Linked DNA regions of Drosophila melanogaster. The protein of the gene in region 2 interacts with the protein of the main gene of each other region in a pairwise test. Each region holds a gene or a part of one and is shown on either strand. Other genes may lie near its edges.

Region 1 (3,733 bases), on a different chromosome or scaffold from region 2:
GATGCGATGCCCTTCGCCCGATGCCCGATGCCCGACCAACCAAAAATGGTTAGTGAGTGCCATGCCCTGCCATGGTTGCGTTTCTGGGGCCGGGCAAGTTTTCAATTTAAGTTGAATTATTATGACCTTAATTAACACGTCGTTTCATCATCAAATGCCGCACTACATCTTATGCTTTTGTTGCAGATATTTCGGCATGGCGCCGTTGCTTCAGTTTCAGGAGCAGGTGGAAACGTAGGAGTTCCAGGCTGCCAGGTTGCCTGGCTCGTGGATGAGGATGTTGAGCTCCTGATTCGATTTTCTGCAGACATGCACTTTTGCCAGGAAGGAGCTGAAGCAGGAGCTTTAATCCCTGCGCCAAGTAACTGTTGCTCCGGTTGGTCGGGCTGCGCCAAACCATTCCATTCTGCTGGGCTCTACTAATTTTGGTTTTAATTAAATTCAAACTATGTTGACGCTCCCGGCACTGACGACCTCCGACGAGCGGCAATCACGTGGGTGATGGCCATGGTCCCCATGTTCCTCCAAATGATCCTGATGATGCTGATGATGATGGGGCTGCTCCATTACTTATGTAGCTACATTTTATGCACCGCCTAATTGAATGACCGAAATGTAAATTGAAAATGCCCGAATAGCTTAAATGGTTGTGCACTTGAAGAGTCCTTGATTAGTTGATCTTGATTAGTTCCCAACTATCGATTTCCATCTCATTTGGATTAATACCTAACTATCTTGCATATTCCATTCCTGCTAATGATAATGACGTGAAATATATATACATACCAATTATTTTGCACAGTGCAGGCATACACTCGTACAAATGTGGAAATTGGCCAGCCAGAGCCGTCATCATCAGATGCCTGGCTGCCTTACACTATTTGCGTTATGATTTCTTTTTAATTTCCCAGCGGTATTTAGGGAAAAAATTTAATAATATCAAATATGAGAGCAGCGAGTGGTGGATGTCCTGTGGAGACTGGACAAGTGCATGTGCCGTGTGTCGTGTGTGTTTGTATTTGTGGGCAAACATTCAACAGCGCACAACAATGCGATCTCCCGCTTTTCCCGCTTATCCTCTGCGGCTTTCATTTGGCGGATGTGTGTGTGCGTTGTTGTGTGTGTGTGTGTGTGTCTGGACTTCCGCTTGGCTGAATTTGTTTACACTTTTTTTTCGCCCGCCGCCACTGGCCCACTCATAATTTCATTTTGAAATGTTTGCCTAAGCGACAATTTCACTCTTTTTTTTCACTTTTTTCTGTTGTTTTTCACAGCCGGACATATGGCACTAAGCCTGGCCCACATTATTAAAACCAGCGACAAAAGACAAGCGACTCTCGGATAGACCAGAAACTGGGTCCACGGTCCATTTAACAGACTCCAGGAGGCGATGGCGATGGCGATGGCGATGGCAATGGCTGAACCTGAACCCTTGGCGGCACAGCACTCAGCACGTGATTTGCATACACTTAGGCCAGGCTGGCGGCACCCAGTCCAAGCTTTTGGCCCACACTTAATTACATGCCAAATGAAAAGTTGGCGGAAGCAAACAAAAAATTTTGGGGAAACCAAAAATATATAAACAGGAAAAGAGCAGGAATTAAATGTGCGTTAAATTGCCAATAAACATGGCCTGCATCTCAATGGGCAAAGTAAGGCGAAAGGGGTGACTAAAACAGCAATAACACGAGGGTTTAAAAATGTAGCTTAAAAAAAAAGAATAATAAATTGCTTAATATTTTCTAGTACATCTAGTTAGTTCCAGCACTTTAGTGAAAAGCGGGCCTTGCCTTTTGTGCTGGGAGTTTTGGGAAACTGATAGAGCTACTTTTCATTCCCACAACGGCAGTCACAGCGAAAACGCACACGTCCAAATTTTATACTTGAACAAAACCAAATCACTTCAAGAAATATTTTTTTTATTTTTCTTTTGATTATCGTGTCGAAACATAAATGGAAACTGTGCGAAATCGAAACCCTCCGCGGATGAAGTACACCGCTCCACCGAAGATGGAATCGGATTTAAACTTCACCGAGAAGGAGAAGAAAACTCTTACCGAACTGAAGCAGCTCTATTTGGAGACCATTAACCTGGATGTGGCTCTGCAGCGCGACATTTACAATATCGAGAAGAAGTACGAGGATAAGCACAATATCATATTTGATAAGCGCAAGAAGATTCTAGAGTAAGTCCATTAATGGTGTTTGGTTAAACAAGATCTCAATTCCCCCAAAAATCCCATCGGTGCAGTGAGTTTAGAAAGCAAAACCACGGCGACGTGGAAACCAATCAGAGCGTGCCCAACTTTTGGCTGAGGGTTCTCAAAGCATCGTACACCGAGTTCATCAGCAAGAGGGATGAGAAAATATTAGAGGTATGTTATGGATAGATCCGATTTGAAGGATATTTAAATTTTAATTGAAATTTTTCCCGCGCAGTGCTTAAGCGACATCCGTTCTCGGCTGTACAACGAACCCGTGGTGAAGTTTGATATCGAATTCCACTTCGATCCCAATGATTACTTTACCAACACGGTGCTGACCAAGACATATTTCCTCAACTGCCTGCCGGATCCAGACGATCCGCTCGCATATGATGGCGCCGAGATCTACAAGTGCGAAGGCTGCGTCATCGACTGGAAGCAGACCAAGGACCAGACCAAAACCGGTAAGCCATCTGGGAGCATCAAATTTCACAGATGTTAGTTGAATTCACTCATTGACCAGAAAATCAAGAGCCGTCGTTCTTTGAGTTCTTCTCGCCGCCGCTTTTGCCAGAAGATACCCTTGACCCCAACTACTGTGACGTCAATGTAAGATTGAATATCAGCGATCTGCGATCCTTTCACATGCATCTCCTCCCACAGGCTATGCTGCAAAACGATTTTGAGGTGGGCTTCTATCTAAAGGAGCGCGTGATTCCCAAGGCGGTGATCTTCTTCACCGGCGAGATTGCCGATTGTCAGAGCTCCAGCGGATCGGAGACCGAGTCGGAAGATACCGAGGACGAGTCGGATGCCGAAGAGGAGGATGGCGTCGACAAGTAAACATTTTACACCGCTTATATACAGTTTACATACATTTTTAACTCGAGTCACCGAACTATTGGCCTGTCCTTACCCACTACATACCAACCAAATAAACATTTCATTATACATATTTACCAAAAGGATCTCGCGCGCTCTTTTTAATGCCTAGCTAAAGGAATTGAATTGTGGTTTTGATTTATACAGTGCGTTTAGCCTGGCGTGTATATATTACAAGGACTCGAATAGTCAAACGTAATACTAGATGGCTGAGCTACAGCACTCGCTTGTAGCCAGCGTTGTGGATCCATCGGCTTGGCCATGTCGTCTTTTTTCTTAAAAAAAAATAAAATAATCCAGCACGGCCCACTTCGACGGAATCTTTACAAACAATATTCTAAGGAGCCACCACCTCCTGTGGCGGTGGCGATTTCGGTGGCTGCTCGTCGTCGGCGCGCGGCGGTGGCTGCAGCATCACCACCACCGTGTCATCCTCTTCCTGTGTCTCCAGCTCCGGAAGTCTTTCAAACTCCTCCAAGTGATTGGCGACCACTTCGCATTTCGGTTTGGAGATCTTGAAGCGCCGAATTGCCGGAAGCGTAATGCTGGTGCCACTAACATCGATATACACCAGATTCGGAGAGCACTGCACCAGGTGCTCCAGGGTATGATTTGTGATGAGATGGTAGTTTCGCAACGACAGTCGC
Region 2 (3,743 bases):
CAGGACTTGTCGAAGGCCACCGCAGCAGGTGCTTGCAAAAAAATATATATGTATCTAACATTGTATTAGATGCTTGATTTGTTTAATGAATGAATAAAACACATTCGGCTGATGATCCTGATCATCGAATAAAATTTATGGGATCGGAAAAGTTTGCTAATTTATATTGCCAGCGTATGAAAAGGTTTTCTTAATACCCCATATGTAAAGCTAATTGGTATCATTTTTTAATAAAAAGTACTATCAGTTTATTGATTTTCCTATCACTAGATACCAATATATACAGATTTATGTTATACTTAACGAAAGTGATACTAGTAGAATACATCATCGTAAAACTTAAACAGTAACAATTTGGGCATCAATATCGACAATTTTTAATATTATTTTTTAAGATAATGATGAACAATTAATATTATACTATTAATTATTAATTTAATTTTTAAGTAACTTTAATTTTCAAAATACTTTGTGAAGAATTCAATTGCAATATAACGAAAAAAAAATTTATTCAATTTAAAACGTCAAACAATATCGGCATACAATATATGTACATACCTAGTTAACTTACAGAAAGACGTACACGCAAATGTCTGACTAAAAAAATCTTTTTTTTTTTCAAAAGTCGTTTAAATTGAGTACTGTTATATATGTTATAAAACAGAAGTAACCTTAAATCATTCAAAATTGTTATGTAATATTTTTTTTCGCTCGTAACATTTTATTGAACGATAGGTTATGTTCGACAATTGCGCTATTAGCCAAAGCACATATTTTGTGCTGAACTTCGCAATTTAATACAATTGTTATCAATTAAAAATTTTTATTTTTGTGCTACTTACACAATTGCCCCAAGAATGGCAGCAAATTCTTATCGGCTTTAGATGCAGCACGTAACGCGAACATTTTTCTCGAACTAACTGAGAAGTGTGCGGGCGAGCAGAAGTCCTAGTGATGAGCAAATCGGTAGTCGCGATATATTGAGTATTTACGCTTCCAAAACATATCGAGGTTTTAGTATTTTTGCGTATTCAGACCATAATGTGGACTTACGTTGTTGTTACCGCACCAGGAGAGTGTCCGAATGCCACTTTTATATATACACAATGAACTGTAACTGTTGTGGTTGCCCGACACTAACGACTGATACACCCATGAAAAGGTGGTTTAATGGATTGCAAGCTGATGTGGCTGAGTAGAGGTAACTGCACCAACAAAAATAAGTAAAACAAGAGAGAACGCAAGTACGCAAGAGAAATTTAAATTATTTTATGGCTTATGGATAGAATTTGGAAAATATATGACAAAAAATGATATTAATAGTGGTAGGCGTGACAGTTTTGGGCGGCGTGTGGGCAATAGATTGTGCGTTGCAGCATCGATGAAAAAACTTGCCCTGATTCTTCGTCTCTGGAATGTTAAGTCTCAACTTGTTAAATCACTATCTAGCTTTCGTAGTTCCTGTGATCTCGACATACAGAGGGACATGTGTAGATCGACTCGGCTGGTGATCCTGATATGAAGATGATGAAGAAGATATGGTTGAAAAAGCGAGTAAACAATTCTTAGTCAGTCTGATTGGCAATTAATTTTTGTTTAAAAGATATCAAAAGCAAACAAAATTTTTCGATATTTGTCTTAATACAATTTTTGTCGGCTTGTCTGCCTGAAGAAAAGCGTTATTTTAAAACCTAAAAAATAAATTTGTTTATGTTAAACTGGTTGGTATGGGAAACTTAGGGTTTATTACTTTTGCTAAGCCCTTCCATTTTAGCGAGAAACAGCTATAAACATTTCCTTCCTACCCATCGCTAAAATCTAATAGTTTATCTAGGTTAGGGGTGTTTACGCTTACAAACACATAACTACAATATTTACTCCTTCAAATCATTTTAAGTTATCGATGCATCGATATTTCCCTTGTATTTTTCCACCTGTACCACGTGTGGTCATTTTCTGCAATACATTGATTTCCCCAACGCTCAATGAAAATAAGTAAAAAACTCTTTTCCCGCCAGGAGGAAAAACCTCGGAGCCAATTTCTGGAGGAGGAACAGTACGTGAACCTGACCTCAGGCGCGGCTGCTCGTGAGTGCTGCGGGGATGCTCTTTGGGATTTCGATGGTCAGACCGACGAAGCCTGGCTGGTCCAGTGTCCCAAGGGTGCAGATCCACATCTGCTAGTCGGCAAGCGCATTAGGCTTCCTGGCAGGAAGAGCGTGGGCGATCTCCAGGTTCGTGCCGTCAAAAACTCGACGTTACAGAGCGAGGCACTGGGCTATTTGAGATCTATGGGTCCCTATGCCCTCCGGAAAATTCCCTTTGTCGGCTATGTGGTAATCAGCAAGCGTCTATATGATAAACAACCGCTACCAGGTCAGAAGGAACATACAATTCAAGCTGATCTAACGCTACCCAAGTACCTATTACGAGAACGACATCCGTTGTTCGGGCGCAGCTACAAGCAACGCATCCAATTACCGAAGATGATTTCCACATCTCTTAGTCAAGCAGACGAGAAATTCTTGGAAGCTACTGCCAAGCTTCGCAGCACTGCTAACTACTACAAGATCCGGAGCAAGCTGCACACCACCACACAGACGCTAGAACAAAAAGAGGACGATGTGCGACAGTCGGTGCTTACCGGTCGTACGCCGCAGTTCATGAAGGAAACAATAATCCCGGATCTATATAAAGATCTCTTAGACGAAGAGGACATCGAGAAAAATATAATGAACCCAGCAGAGGAAGTTGGTCCTGCCAAAATGCGCAAGAAAAAATTTAATTCAAACGGTCACAAAACGGGAAATGCAGTAGGGAAATAGACAAAAGAAGCTTAAATTAAATGAAAGCAACGGCCGCTAATGACCTGGACGAAGTAATTGCACAAGAAGGCTTAAAAAAGTCGAATGGAAACCATTAAGAATTAGAGTTTACTTAAGATAAATTCACATACTTACGTAATTAAATAAAAATATGTAACGATTTGGATTATAGATTATCACATATAAGCTGCATAAATTAATGTAGTCATTTAATAACGAAATAAAATTGCACTTTGTCAAGGCGTGTTCACAGCACTATGAACAGCTGACGTTAATATCAGTACCTTAATAGTTGCGGAGAAAGAGCGGTGGTTAAAGTTAAGATTTATATTTAAAAGAATATTAAGAATACGCGTTGCGCATGTTCCGAAAGAGATTTCTGTGCTAAAACAGTTCGATACTTAAAACGTTTAAGTTATTTTACATTACATTACATTAAATTGCATATTGAACGCAATTTAACGTTTTCTCATTCGGCATGTAACAATTAAAAGGACTCACGCGCGTTAAAAAGTTGAATACGCTAGCATAATTTAATTTAAATAATTATTCAGAGTTGCCAATTTTTGTCACTTCAGCAATTGACACCAATCACTTTGCGATTATTAGGCAACCCTTTAAAACTACACGAACAACAGCAAATCGATTTCTCAGTTGTGTTTTAATTGCGTATTTAAAACAATTTGGATCGGGCTATGAATGGAACTGATCTCTGATAAGGATGAAGAGACTTAAAGCGTACCTAAAGGATGGCATCAATGTGGCGGCGGTAATGTGTCTGGGCGATACTATATCCCAGTTCTTTTTTGATAAGAAATCGTTGGACGAATGGGATGCGGGGCGAACCCTCCGTTTCGGCATCGTTGGACTGGTGTTCGTTGGCCCAACTTTGCGCCGGTGGTACCATTTTTTGGAGTC

Evidence for each region. Proteins that work in one complex are often made in the same cells at the same time.
Region 1: the proteins of CG11076 (region 2) and mil interact in a two-hybrid assay, tested with the Drosophila melanogaster proteins (one large-scale study listed by BioGRID).

Annotation. Positions count from the first base shown.
Region 1 is NT_033777.3:27,910,615-27,914,347, forward strand, and holds mil (milkah), read left to right. Parts: upstream 1-1,832; 5' UTR 1,833-1,953; coding exon 1,954-2,186; intron 2,187-2,251; coding exon 2,252-2,375; intron 2,376-2,439; coding exon 2,440-2,668; intron 2,669-2,727; coding exon 2,728-2,813; intron 2,814-2,867; coding exon 2,868-3,047; 3' UTR 3,048-3,171; downstream 3,172-3,733. Other genes in the region: CG5003 (uncharacterized protein), read right to left, coding at 3,424-3,733.
Region 2 is NC_004353.4:1,029,053-1,032,795, reverse strand, and holds CG11076 (uncharacterized protein), read left to right. Parts: upstream 1-1,820; 5' UTR 1,821-1,985; coding exon 1,986-2,825; 3' UTR 2,826-3,085; downstream 3,086-3,743. Other genes in the region: ATPsynbeta (ATP synthase, beta subunit), read right to left, coding at 843-906; mitochondrial inner membrane protein MPV17, read left to right, coding at 3,547-3,743.